2 linked regions of the Oreochromis niloticus genome follow. The protein of the gene in region 1 purifies or fractionates together with the protein of each later gene. This does not show direct contact. Links are inferred from orthologs where the notes say so. Each region holds a gene or a part of one and is shown on either strand. Other genes may lie near its edges.

Region 1 (8,037 bases):
TAAAATAGGGTCAAATGTTTGCTAATATGTTTAAAAAAAACGAAAAGAAGAAATTCTGATTAACTTCATCCAGTTTGATTATCTACAGCCGACGATCTCGTCTACCTCCTTAGCCACAACCATGCCAAAGTCGAAGTTAAAGGAGTTTTACAGTCAGTTTTACACTCCATACGAGCTGGTAGCGGACAGAACATTGCTATACATTTCACATAAGACATAATGTGGCATGTTTTTGTGGTAACATATAAATATTATTATATTTCACATTATAATAAGTATAGCCGGCTAACTAAATGGGCTACTGTACAAGAGGCCCGTGCACCATTGTTTCCAAGTTTATTTCTTTTATATTAAATTGATAGGTTTGGGCATTGTTCTCCAAGTCGCATCACATACCTGTGTGCTGCCACGGCACGGTTGTTCAGGTACTTCTGGGCAGTCATGACACCAACAAATAGGAAATTGTTAGATCTGGAAGCAGATTTCTCGGTCGGCGGTGAACCGTTAACTTCAGGCCACAAGACTCCCCCGTATTCTTTTCCGAGACCCCCGTTAAGCCCACACCCGGCAGAGTTGGCTTTTCTTTTCTGTCCAGCTTTCTTTAACTCACTCGCCTTGGGTAAAATCAGCCTGGAAGCCAGTGTGAACCCAACAACCAGTCCCAACAGAACACTAAACCAGGCTCTTCGACTTCGACCTGCCATTCCCCCAAACTTCATTAGCTCTGTCGGTAAAAGCAATAAGCAAGACTAGATCGTCTCGATACAAATACTAAAGACTGGGTCGATAGAGCTCGTTTTCCGCCAGAAAACCGGGCTCACGCGCAATCTCTCATGGTAGAAAAGCCCTTTTCTTCCAGATGCCTACGTAGCATCGCAACAGTCTTACTGAAGCCGTCACTTGAACAATTCTCTGTCCCTGCTCCTTCTGGCAATCAAGCTGTCCCCCGCTGTCGATCATGGACGAATTTAACAGCGATCGAAAAGCGCAGTTGCTTTTTATCCCTTAGCGTTCAATAGCGGTCCGACTCTCACCATTATCTCGCCATGGCAAGAATGTCGAGAAGAATGATCGCGAAGGGTTTAACAGTGGTTTGACCCAACGGCAGTTCCGTAGAAATCTTCTAATCGCCTCCACCCCCGTGGCATAGGGCCCGACGGTGCTGCCTTTAAATTGCGTATGAAACCCTACTCACACATCTAAATTCATCTGCTGTGTAAATGTAGACAAAGCGTAGCTTCTTTTTGCCATAGTTCATAAATCTTTATATTAAAGCAGTAGTAGTTATATAGTTAGTGACTATAAGTGTCACTAATGCACAAGCTATTGCGTGAAACTGTTCTAACAAAAGTCAAATTGCTTGATTGTGTACACATGCTGATAATGCTAAGTGTGACATGTAAAACCCTATTAACATAATATTGTTTTTCCAAGACAAAAATTTGTATCGGTATGTCATTTTATTACACTGTCATTTATTAAGATTTGTCTTTTACCTTTATCTGTGGCCGATAAAAGAACAAGTCACAATAAAGTTTTGAAAGTCTAACGTCCTTAAATGCAGCATGCTTGTTCTGTGATCTAGCGCCCCCAAGTGATTGTGGTGGTGTTCGTCACCACGTCGAAAACTGTGCCTTGTCTTCATTGTGGAAGATTTTACAGCATGTTTCTTTTTAGGCCGCGTCAATAAGTCACAATAAAAAGCGCTTCTGACGTGTATTAAACTGACGGTCTCTGTGAACTGCAACGTTCTGCTGGGAAAACCTCATGAAAGTCGTCATGAAAGACTGCCGGCACTCTTTTTTTGACACATACCACCCTCTTAAGAAACAATGGTTTCCCTATTTGTCAAAAATGTCAAACTGAACATTCTGAAATTAAACGACACAATCCTTTGTTATTAACAGTTAAAAAAAATTAAGAAGATTTATTTTCAAGATTTTTCTTGTTTGTGCTTTCAATTGAGATAATAAAAAATACTGAGCACAAAATATCACCATGTTTACTTTTAATTCTGCAATACAAAGTACACCTCCCATATATATGTCATTTCGATTCAATTTTATTTCTATAGTGCAAGTCGCACTTTATATTATAAGGTAAAGACCCTGCAATAATAGAGAGAAAATAACAAAAATCAGACGCCCCCCGATGATCACATGTTTGCCAACAGTGGTAAGGACAAGCCTTTTTTAACAGGAAGAAACCTGTAAAATCCGGCTCAGGTAGTGTCAGCCATCTGTTTCAACTGGTTGGGGGTAAAGGGAGAGAGATAAAAGGCAAGTCCTGACTCCTCAGGACTTCTGGCAGTACAATCCCTTCAATTTGACTACCATCCCTCTCTTTGGTTGTTGACCACATTCCCATCAAATTCCTGATGAAGACTCTTTCGGTCCTGTTCATCTTCTATAGTTCTAAGCATTTCAGGATTCATATATGAGGGACTGAGGGCTTTCTTGTAGCCAATCTAGGTGTTGCATAGGTTGGTCAGTGTGGTCTTACAGTCTGAAGTGACTCTGAATTGCATAAGAGGAGGAAAATGGATGGATAGATCAGGGCCACCAGGGCCATATTTACCATTGTATACCATCCTGCATTCTTTTAACAACACTCAATCAAATGTCTGGGAAATAAGGTGTTGTTCGCAGCAAAAATTTCTGGCACAACTTCACCTGCTTCCAAGGTGCATGGAGAGGATAAAAGAATTCAAAAAGCAGGAACTTCAACAACACTTGAGGGAAGAAGAACAACTTTAATAATTGACCAACGCGTTTCGGCTTGTGGCCTTCATCAGGGTCACAGTAAAACATTGTAAAGAATTGCTTAAATACAAGACAGGAAACAGAAAAAAATGAAATTCAAATTAACCAGTCAAAACTTCATAGATAGGTCAGCTGACATATAATAGGTAGGTATTGGTTAATTGGTTAAGTCACACCCAAGTAAATACTGGACTAGATCATTAATGATGAGGAGGGGGGGGGGTTGACATGGGGGTGATATGGGGGTTATGTCCCCCCCCCCCCTTCCTCAAGTGTTGCTGGAGTTCCTGCTTTTTGAAATAAGATGTTGTTGCAATTTTGGGAGAGGAAAGTTGTCTATTTCTTGTCTGATATGAATTCTACCTGCTCAACAGTCCTGGGTCTTCTTTTTTCTTTTATATTGTGCAAAATATTTACAATTATATTTATATAATTCTTCTCAATGGGGTTGGGACTATCAGTTGTGTTGTACAGATGTCTGGTTGGTACACAGATGACAGCCCTATTTGACAGCTATTAGAAATCATATTATGGCAAGAACCAATCAGTTAACTAAAGAGAAACAACAGTCCATCGTTACTTTAAGAACTGAAGGTCAGTCAGTCTGGAAAATTGCTAAACCTTTGAATGTGTCTCCAAGTGCAGTCATAACAACCACCAAGCGCTACAACGAAACTGGGTCACATGAGGACAGCCCCAGAAAAGGAAGACCAAGAGTCACCTCTGCTGCTGCTGAGGATAAATTCATCCAAGTCACCAGCCTCAGAAATCACAAAACAACACCCCAGATTAGAGCCCAGATAAATGCCACACAGAGTTACAGTAGCAGACAAATCTCTACATCAACTGTTAAGAGGAGACTGTGTGAATCAGGTCTTTATGGTCAAATAGCTGCTAAGAAACTACTACTAAGGAAAAGCAACAAGCGGAAGATATTTCATGTATTTTAAAGACAATACATTAAGAAACAGATTATATTAGATTTATATTTCAAATATGACAAATGCTGATTTTATAGCAGCAAAATTATTATCTTTAAAGTTTAAGCATTTAATAAGGCAGAAAGCCTTGCACTGAGTGGATAGTCAAACAAACTGAATCATTATAAATACATTATTTTATATTTATTACTTTTCAGAAAAAATTCTTATTACTTTATTATTATAGCACTGGAAATAAATAATAAGGAAATGATTCTGGATCAGCACCATAATTGAAACCTGTTGCTGTAGTATGCAAAGTATTCTGGAGAAGGTATAATATGTCACTGTACGTGCATGTGCGTGTGCATGTTTTATGTGTATAGATATTTTAAAATTATTACTCACAATATAACATTGTCCAGACAGGCCCTGTAAGGAGAGGAGGAGGAAACAGTGAATACATGAGCTACAGTGGCTCTCTCACCAACTGGATTACAAAGAGCACAGGTAACAATTACACATGTACCAGTTGTTGCATTGCAGAGGTGTTCAAGTAGAAAAACAATAATAAACACAACTACAATGTTTTGGTTCTATAACATTTTTCTATCATTACTTTATTATGGATTAATGGTGCAAGAGTTGTTAAGTGTGGATAATAAAATAATAGATTAATGCAATAACAAATTGTGCCTTGTTCTCAGATGAACAGCAAATGGACAGTGATAGATGAGATGAGGAGATGGAAGGAGGAAGCGAGGCAAAGAGTAAGTCACAGGCAGAGCCTAGTTTATTTCCCACAATTTTTTAAAAAAAAAAATCTGTCGCCTTATGGTTCCAAGCACTGTCACAGATCTTTGCATTTTAGGATTATCTCATAACACTTGTTTAATCAGCTACCAGCTCTCCTATGGAGATTTTAATGTCTACAGTCTCAGCTCTCCAGCACTATCAGCAACAACCCATCAACAGCAACACTGTACCCCATCAGGTAAAACATAGGCTACGTTTGCTTTGCATTGTCCCCACCTGATGACGATGATATAGTATTCTTTGGTGTTGTTCTGGGATCTTTTGTAACCTTAATAATTTAGAAACTGCACTTTGTGTTTACTTGTGTTATCTTTTCCCAACATTTAAATTTGTTTGATGATCTGTGTCTCTAACCTTTATTATGAAAGGTATGAAGAGGAAGTGACCTCTTTTGCGTGACGTGGTCGTGTGCTAGAATGAGTCATCTGGCTTCCGCCAACACGTCATCGTAAATAACCATCTACATTTTGTGTAGCAAGTTTTAAAGAAGATCTTTGGCAAAGAAATAAGTTACCATACAAGCTAATACAAGACTGATAGGTTTTCAAAACTACTCTGTACAACGACGCTTTTTGTGACTGAAACGGTCAGTTCATTTGAGTGTGGAATGGATGATGTAACGAGCGAAGACGATTATGATTCCACTTTCCATGTGAAGAAGCCACCCTTAAAAAACCAAGACTTGAGTTCCCTAAGCCTGACTGGTAAGCTTGCACGTTTAATTAGCCAACTTAAATAATAAAGAATATAGGAATACAGTTACTAACGTCCGTAAGACTTATCTGTCGTTCCACTGTAGCTCATGTTAAGGTGGGATAAAGGCGACATGTTGAGCTGAAGATGGACCCCCAAATATTTAGTATTTAATTCCTTTAAGATTATATTTATTGAAAAAAAAATGTTGTTTCCAGCGTTTCGTTGTTAACAATATCACAGCTACTTAGATTATTGTTTATTTCTGTTGTAATTGAATTACTGTAGTTGAGGAGTTCGTGGCCCATTATGGCTGGTACCTGCTGTTTGGAGCTGTAATGTTCTACCTGCTCATTCTGCACTTCAACAAGAGGAGATCAAGCCAGCACAGCCCAACGCCACAAGACTCACAAGGTCAGCACAACTCATTTTATATTTGTACACAGGGGCGGATCTAGAGAAATTTTCTTAGGGTGGCATGAGGGTGGCAAAGAAATCAAATGGGGTGGCAAAATCAAAGCCTTTTTTTTCAAACACATATGCAGGTGGTTACATATGGTTAAAATAATTCAAATGCAGTAAGTATACACGTTTTTCATATAAATATAGTCTATAACTTAATTATTGTCTGTAGCCCACATAATTACACACCGTAGTTACATAAAACATGTGAGTTTTGATCTTATGTACTGTATAGCCTGTATAATAAATAAATATGTAGCCCAATAAGTATAAAATCCAGAAAGCTACACAACACGGGGTGGTTCATTTACAAACACAAGTCTAACTTAAGTTTCACACTGTTTTTTGTTAGAAAACAATCCCATTGTTACATGCTTAAACTACACAAAATGTCAGAAATCTGCACTGTCATGAACAAAAATTTAAACCTAATTTTTCATGATTTGTTGGATTAACCCACTGAGGTCTGAAATACAACTGGACATTTTTTACTCCTTTTGAGTTTACGTTTGTATTTCACCCTCAAATTGTTTCATTTTATTTTATTCCTCCTTGCCTTGTTTGGTATCATTCTTTTCAGCTCAACTGAATTTAGTTGTTTTTTTTCACTGACATACTGCATTAGTATTACTGATCTGAAATCACACAAAGAACTTAAAATCCTAGTAGTATTTTTTTTACTGTAAAAAAAACCCCACAGGCATGTTGAGTAAATTTTTATAACTTGAAATGCAAATATAAAATGTACATTTTGTAAACATATACAACTATTTATCTAAAAATGCAGCCAATACACCTGCCGTTTTTTTCATTTTGTACAACCATTTCAAAATATTACTAAAACTAACCAGTAAAAAAAAAGGTTTTCCACCAAAAGACAGAGGAGAACATCACAGGGATAAACCTGCAGGCTTGACAACAGGAGGTGTATCACTCCGCTGGTTTTCTACTTAGTGACAGTGTTTACATTGCAAATGTGCCTTTGTGACATTCATTAGTGCCCTCACTGACACACAAAACAAAACGACTACACAACAGAACAGCTACACAAGACAACACAACACACTAAGTATACACTCCACACTAAACGTCACAAATCTCCCACATCTAAAAACTCTCTCTCTCGCTCTCTCTCTCTCACTCACTCGCTCTGTTTCGCTGCCGTTACCGTCACTCTCAAAACTCTCCCCTCTTCCTAAACAACCAAATCCCACGTGTTGACTTTTTTTTAAATTGGTCGATATGGTACATTTTTCCACCGATAGGAAAGAGGTGTTTTTTTCCCCTTTCTTTACTGTTTTCGCGCTGTCCTTAGAAAACGCGTCAGGAAAAGTCTGGAGAAAGCGCCAGCTTCCAATTTGGGATTACTTTGAATATGACTGTGTTTTGGATAAAGCAAGTGTCTTGTAGTGGAAAGAGACAAATTATGAGGGACATTTCTAAAGGGAAAAACATCCCACAAACCTTAAAGTGCACTTGAAAAGCTCACACAAGAAGGCTAACCTAGCTTACCTGGAGAAGGTAAGGGAGCACACTCAACCCTCATCCCCAGAAACAGAAGCTAACCCCAGGCAAGGCAGCGTGATGCATCCCGAGACAACAGGACTGGGATATCTACATAACTGTGTGAGTCAATTGCCTTAACACCCAGTGCTGCAAGAGTTAATAGTCTCATTGGGGCCAAGATATACATTTTATAGTTGCCTGGTATCAATGGTTGTTCATCTGCCTTTATTTATTTATTTAAAGAACCCATAGGTGGGAATGTGAGTTGTCTTTCTCTGCGTGTTAGCCCTGCGACAGACAGGCGACCTGTCCAGGGTGCAGGGTATGGTAGCTGGAATAGCAACATACCCAAGGATAAGCAGAAGAGAATGACTGATATGATGAAACTGGGATTTTGTTACACTTTATTGCAAACACAACTAAAACTATAACTGAAACTAATCAAAACTAAACTGAAACTAAGGATTTTCAAAAAAATAAAAACTAAACTAAACTAGCAAACAATTGGTAACAACTAATTAAAACTAATATAAAATTGAAAATCTGAAGTCAAAACGAAATAAAAATAAAAACTAATGAAAATTGCAAAACTATTAAAACCCTGGTGATTTGGCGGTGCAGCGTGTCCGTGGACCACAGAGGGTTAATAACACTCACCTTCCTTCCATTTCCAGAGTGTAACATCCAACCACCTGTGTAAAAAGCGAAATTCCCATGGTGTTGTTCAAAATGTGCTCTGGCACAATCATAAACATCGCTAGCTACCGAAAACAAGAAAAAAGCCGGACCTGCTATGGGCTGAACCATTTGTTAATGGTGGAGGGGGGGGAACACTATGCAATATATTCAGTTTTAGCATTTATATTCACTGTTGACTG
Region 2 (7,162 bases), on another chromosome or scaffold:
TCCTAATGCAATTTCTTGGCCAGGACCAGAAAGAAATTGTCTGGATAAGCTTTGTGAAATGCCGCAGAAATTAGTAAGCTTTAGAGGAGCAGGTGGCAGCGTCTCTGCAGTGTTTATTTTTTTTCTCCAAAATGTAAACCTTTCCTTTTTAAAGTGGGTGTCTTGTGTTATGAAACACTCCTAAGATTTCAAAGGACGGTTGTAAACAAATGCTTTATATAGATGCTACAGCAGTCTACATGCAGAGAGAGAGAGACAGACGAGGAAGATTCTCACCTGCATGTTTATCAGCAGCCCGGTTATCTGCAGGTTGAGTCAAGGACGACAACAATACAATCACAGCTGGAGCTCTACAATTAGAACAGCTGGGGACCGGGAGGTTGCCTGTTCAAATCCCCTACACCGGTTTTTGGAAGCTGGCAGGCACCTCTGCCGTTTCCAGTTGAGCAAGGCATCTGACCTTGGAAGGTTACGCCTCCCACACTTTTTTTAAGCTGTTCTCACCATTTAGCTGAACCGACAAAGACTGAACATGTTGTTTGGATGAGGTAGAGTTTTGCTGCTTTTCCCATATAAAAGAGAAATGTCTGAGCAGCAAGCAGCCAATCTAAGCTGAACTCTCACAAGAAGACAGAGAGCTGAGATGTGGGCCTGAGTGTACTGCTGGTGCTGCATGTGACCTAGATTAGGTTTCTCTGCTCTGCAGGGGTAGACTGACACCGGGCCGCTGGCACAGAGCCACCCTGACATGGCACACTGCTGCAGCGAACGAGAGAGAGAGGCAGAGAGAAGATGAAAGAGAAATGCAGGAGAGATCAAAAGCAGGAGGGGTCAGAATGAATGGTAGAGTGGGAAATAGGCTAACAGCGAGGTAACTGGATGACGAAAGAATAATTTCCTGTTAGGTAGATTAAAATGTGAGATTTTAAAACAGGAATTGCCAATCTGAAAGGATACAACTATGCAGATCCAGTTGAAGAGAAGCATGAAGATATAGTCTGCAGGCCTGCCATCAAATGACCCTGGTATAAGAAAAAAAAATGAGGATGAAGATGATGATGACACAAATGAATACAAGATGCTAGAAAGAGCGCTGTATGTTTAGAAACCGCTAAGGCCGGTGATCTTACCTGTCTCTAGTCGAGTGGAGTAATGGTAGAGGAAATATAGGTTGACCAGGTAGAGGAAGCCGGTATTAGGGGTTATAGGGAAATAAAGAGTGGCTGTTACCGGTCTCCAGATCTGAAATAAGCAGAAGAGTTATTAACCCAACAGAAAAGCAGTAAGACATCAACGTCGCTGTGCCTGTTTGCACATCCAGATGTTCACCACCAAGTCTGTAACACATTAAGTCTCATGTGGGTTGCAAATTATTACTTCCTGTGTGGTATTCCTCTGCAGAGTGTGTGTTTCCTCACAGAAAGATTTGAAAATTGGTAAAAGAAGTCAAATCAATACCACATTTAAATGTTAAATTCCCATTAATCTGGAGGCAAAAGACAAGATGCAGTCACAATTTAAAGAAGTGTCTGATCATACCATTATCCAATTTTTGTGCTGTCCAACAAAAAAAAATAATCTTATTTTGTTGTTTGGGACTTGACAAAAGGTTAATAACTTTTCAATCAACAGAGTCTCATATTCAGTGCTTTCACACAGCTTGCGTGACCATCTTAACTATCACTTAACAATTTATAGGCTCATAAAGATCAGGGGGTTATATATAGTATACTGACTCTGCACTACTGCATTTTTATTTCAGTTTATTTTGCTTTCTTTTATTAGCCACACAATTGGCTGCCTACATAATGAAATTAACTGTGGTTTTAATCAACATGTCCTAAGATTAATAATCCACAGCAAGAAAGTCCAATAATTCCAGAAGGTGTATGGATTGTTCAGTTAAAAGAAGCTTATTCATTCACTTAAGAAAACACAGTAATACCAATGCAAACAAAGTACATAGCAAAGTACTGTATTAATGCTGTAATTATGTATATTTAATATTCTTCAGATTATCCCTTAACTATAGCTGTGAGATATATTTCCATTTACTGAAGGTGGAATGATGACATTTCCTTCTAAGTTAAGTACTAGAACTGATATGAAGTGAATTACTTGGTAGCTACTTTTCAGCACTTAAAGTGATCAGACTGGTTGATTCCCTTTGCCCTGAGCTGTGTTTGATTACTGATTTACACCTATGCCCTAACCTTGCATGAACCCACTGTTAACCTGATTTAGAGGCCTTCACAGTGCCTGAGGGCCTAATTTCATAACATCCCCTGCAATACTTGTCTCCACCTTGTGGACGAGAGCGCACTAAAACTAACGTATATTATCGCAACAAATGCTTTAAAATAAAACGTGTCTCTACTTCTCTGGTAATTAAATTATAGAAAATATGTATTTGTTTTCACTCGTCTTATATTTAGTTTACATTTCAGCGTTACTACATATCCAAGCATTTTGACAGCATCCGGAAGTCCCACCCTCCTGCGTCTCGTCCTCTCATTGGCTGCCCCACACTCAGGCCTGCTGAGTTAGCAGTGCTAGCCACCTGCTAACTAACTCCTAGTTTCCAAAAGACAGTAACTCAGCATTTGTTCGCTATCTAATCCAACAGACAGACAAGTTACCAAAAACCAAGAAACACTCACATGAAATCTGCTGAAGACCATCTCCGGAAATAGCAAGAGATTCCTGAAATCAACCAATCCCAGTTTGCCTATAAGGGGAACAGCAATGGAGGCAGCGAACCAGTACCGGGTGATGAAAGGGATGCTTCTGAACCAGTCCCCGATATCTGACATCTTTCCATAGGATTACTGCCAACTTTGAGACCTGAAATAAAATTTCCTCTTTAACAATTCCCTAAAGTCCTTCCCAAACCAGCGACTGCTTCCTGTCTTTATATCACAACTGCTCCACTGTTAAGTTTACATGACGTGGCTAATCACAGTGAGCTAGCTTCAAAATACGACGAAGCCACTGACATCAGAGAGGAAACATCCGGTTTAGCTTCTCAAAGTAAAACCTAATTGACAACTGTTACCACAGACTGGATGAAACAAAAATCTTTTTTACTTACTTTGTGACTGTTACTGAACTAGAAACAAATAAAATTATAAAAATATAATTGAAATTATTATTATCAATCAACAAACTACGTTTATCCGAGGCAAATAATGGCCCACCCTGGTTACAACATGTTCAGCCTGCTTTCCTCAGGGAAGCGCTACAGGTGCATCAGCACAAAAACCCACAGAGTCAAAAACAGTTTCTTCCCTAATGCCATAACCACCCTGAACTCACACATGCACAGATAACACACACATAAAATGAAGAATTTTAGAGGAACCTTTCCTGCTCGCACTGTGTAAAAGTGTTACAAAGGTCCTTAGGCAGTATGATCAGTTCGTGCGGTCATTTATAATATTAAGGATGTGCATAGTTGACGATAAAGTGTAAATAGATGCCAACCCGTGTGCTTGCACATATATTGGCCAAATTTGTTTCTAATAAGCTCTTAATTTAAAAATTTAAACCGGATGTGTTTTCAGTATCTAACAATATCTTGATTGCCTTGCATTTTATTGCACTTCCTGTGAAATTTGCAAACACGCTCACTTGACCATCCAGAGGCAGCCAGCAACACAAAGAGGCGTGCCGAACGACGCAGGTCTCGCGGCCCCCTGTGGAGATCTAAACACAGACCACAAGAAGAGGACTGGGGAAGAAATAAGGCTTTTTAAAAAGTGGTGGCGATCAGTTAATCGTAATTATTTATCCCAGGGTTCAGTTGCTGGAGTTTACCTTTTATCTTTCACTCTGCCTTTAAAGAAGAGGGTGAAGGATTTCGATTTTTTACTTACATACTTAAGTATTAGAATGGCTTTTGGATGTCTGACATATGAGATAACAAAACTTTGATAATAATAAAAACAACAAAAACACTATCATAATAAAATGAATAACTGGCAAACTGGGAGCTTTACTGTGTGGATGTGGATGAATGTATGAATAAATAAATAAAATAAACAAATATACACTAATACATAAATAAACGTCATGTATTTAATTTTAAATGTTATTTTAAAATAAAAATTTACTCAATATTCACTTTTTTTCTGGGTATTGTTAAAAAGGAAAAAAAAATTTACAGGGGTAACAAAGCCTCGCCGTTTACGCTCCTTGGCCACGCCTTCTGACGTATTTCGTCAATTTTGGGCGACAAAAAACTGTTCTCAAAACCAACCAATAAAATAAACAACAACAATAACAGGTGAAGAAAACCTGTTCGTAGGGGGTCAGCTAAACCTTTAGGGCACTACTTAAATCTGAATTACATTGCTAAGCTTTTATCGAGAGCATAAACGGCTTCTCTGCTCATTACCGCACTTAGTCAATGTTACTCTTTTAAATTTGCCGCTGTTTACCCCGCCTGTTAACAGATTAGCCGGCTAATCTGTTAGCGGAGAAGCCATGCAATATCATAGTGACATTAAGTTTACTCAAGCGGTGTTTTGTAAATTTACCTCCTGAACTGTGTGGACTTTTTGAAAATGGAGGTGACGGACATTGGGAACAAAGAGGAGGGTAAAATCTGGTATCGAAAGCCAACACCGGGGAAAAGGTAGGTTTAATTTTCCCAAAAGTCTTATTTAGTTTCTCAGACTGTCAGCAGCTGATGCTGCACGGACTCATTTACATGCGGGTTATCTTTATTACACATACCGCTCTAAGTTGCCAGTTTTTATTGCCGTGGTTGCTGTATTTTGGCACTATTACTGTGAGTATTTCTACTGTTTCTGTTGGTATTTACATAACGAATACTGATTCGTTACTACTGTTGTGATGAGTTATTTTATTTACTAATTGCAATCAAAGATTTAGTTGTGTTTTACGACTTTATTAAGGCCGCAGTAATCCTGGAAAACTATGAAACTTTAACTGTAGTTCTAGCAAATTGCAGCTTTACAAATGATTTATGTTTGAATGTGAATCAAATTAAAGGAAATTTTGAATAAATAAATGAAAATCTTCTCTACAGGTCTCTGACTGGCTTAACGAATATAAAAATATTGCGACTAGTGCTCTGTGACCTCTTCCAAATTTCACCCCAATGAAACATCCATGGAGGAGACATGGATGAAATTGTCTATGGCATTTATTTGTTTGCTTGTTTAGTTCAGTTTCTTTTGAACATGGAAGCAGTATAAAGAAAGTCATGCAGAATACACTGCTTCACTTTGGCTGACGTAGTTTACATATCCAAAAGAGTAGGAAGAAGTGCGCACTTATTTAACCCCACCCTTTGTCCATAAATCCGTTATTGTTTATCCTGCCTCTTTATTGATATAAACCTCAATAACAACAATATACATATTTATAATTTCACTTTCACTTGCATTTACATACACTGTGTAAAATACAAAATCCATTTAACCACCCATTCTTTTTCAGCTTATCTGATTCTGGGTTGTTGGGGTGGGGGCTGGAGCCTATCCCAGTTGCAATAGAGTGTCCAGGTACACCCTGGACAGCATCATGCAGGCCAATCATCCTTACACTCACACCAATGCAAATTTAGAATCACCAGTTAACCTAATCCCACTAACTGCAGGTCTTTGGGATGTGAGAGGAAGCCAGGGACAGAAATATTACCATATGTAGTTTCTACAGCTCCATAATTTTACATCCTCTCAAGAAAGACAAATACCTCCAACTTTGGTGTGTTGATTGCAAAATCTGAATAAACCTGGAATACCAACTAATTAACCAGAGACATTAATTGACATTCAAACATCTTTCTCTTTCTTATACCTCACGAAAACCATATCTTTATACCTTTTTCTGAACTGCTTTATGTTGCACATTGCTTCAGTTCGAAATATTTTCTTGTAGTACGCACAGTGACTGTTTTAAAGTTGCAAAAACCCTTAACTCTTTAGCCCTTGAAACCCTACTAGGAGTAAAACCTTGGAGGTCTTTTGTCGCTTTCTGTCATATTTGGTTATAGAACAGAACGAGTGAGTGTGCGTCAGAAGTTAAAGAGGGTGGTCTCTGCCTCTGCAGCTACCCTTGAAAAAAAAATGGAAACATCACATGGTCGTCACACCACATCTTTGATGTATACTAACGTGTCATAACTCATTATTAAGGGTCCATGGGAGGTCATCAGATGTCATCTTGGGGTCGTTAAATTATGTAGTTAAATTACGAATTCCTTCTCTTACAGAAAACATGCTTTGAATGTCTCGTGCTCTTTGATTATATTTTGCTCTGAACGAAATTTATGCAAAATTTGTATAATACTTAGTATCAAGCAAATTTTGTTCTTGTCATTTAGGTCATATCCTTGTTGCTAATCATTCATTTTTAGGACATTGGTTATTGTTTTTAGTAAATATTAAAAAATGCGAGAATGATCTATTACTCACTCGTTTTCAAGCATTCTGTCACACCACCATCAAGGAGCCCAGTGATGAAATTTGATTTTGATTTCAGTTCTTTTATAAAGAATCTGTGCCAGTGAGAAATTGTGCTATTCCTAAGGTAATGTTAATGTAGCTCCCCATTAAGACACTTTCAATAATTTTTCATCCATCAATATTCCACACCTGTGTAAGTAAGACCTCAGGTGGTTGCTGCACATGTGGAGAGAGAGAGGTCTTTTCCTAGGTGACCACTAGGGAGCAGCCATGATTCACTCAGACACTCTTCATCTTTCGTCTCTGATGAGGTGTGTTGTTTGCCTTTTTCAGTGTGTTAGTAGTGACTGTGGTCCGCACTGCTCAGCAGGCCAAGACGGTGCGTTTCCTCCACGTGGCCTTCGACACCACCGGTGATTCCTTCCTGGCTGGGGATCACCATGGCAACATTTATGTTTTTGACATCAGTAGAAACAGGTGTGTGGCTATGAGTGACACTTGGTTATTTAGTATAAATGTACAGAATTCTGTATTGTTTAGGATTTAGGACTTTACTTTTCAACCAGGATTGTTTGATTCATAAATGTTCTTCCTGTGAATTAGAATATTAAATATATTCAGAATGGAGTCTTAAAACCTTCGATGCTTTTGAAATTTATTTGATTTTCTTTTTTCTTTTCTTCTCCTTCTTCTTGGGATAGATTTCGGCTGGTGCAGAAAACAGGACA

What was found.
Region 2: the proteins of selenos (region 1) and derl1 purify together in Homo sapiens (affinity purification with western blotting; 6 studies listed by BioGRID and IntAct, with this or other methods). This does not show direct contact. The link is inferred for Oreochromis niloticus from reciprocal best matches to the Homo sapiens genes SELENOS and DERL1.

What each region holds. Positions count from the first base shown.
Region 1 is NW_020327524.1:62,302-70,338, forward strand, and holds the start of selenos (selenoprotein S), read left to right. Parts: upstream 1-4,899; 5' UTR 4,900-5,105; coding exon 5,106-5,202; intron 5,203-5,479; coding exon 5,480-5,605; intron 5,606-8,037. Other genes in the region: chsy1 (chondroitin sulfate synthase 1), read right to left, coding at 397-719. UniProt on the Homo sapiens protein: Involved in the degradation process of misfolded endoplasmic reticulum (ER) luminal proteins. Participates in the transfer of misfolded proteins from the ER to the cytosol, where they are destroyed by the proteasome in a ubiquitin-dependent manner.
Region 2 is NC_031976.2:12,325,954-12,333,115, reverse strand, and holds the start of derl1 (derlin-1), read right to left. Parts: upstream 3,002-7,162; 5' UTR 2,814-3,001; coding exon 2,661-2,813; intron 1,243-2,660; coding exon 1,131-1,242; intron 1,023-1,130; coding exon 958-1,022; intron 304-957; coding exon 277-303; intron 1-276. Other genes in the region: tbc1d31 (TBC1 domain family member 31), read left to right, coding at 4,566-4,636, 6,768-6,911, 7,136-7,162. UniProt on the Homo sapiens protein: Functional component of endoplasmic reticulum-associated degradation (ERAD) for misfolded lumenal proteins. Forms homotetramers which encircle a large channel traversing the endoplasmic reticulum (ER) membrane.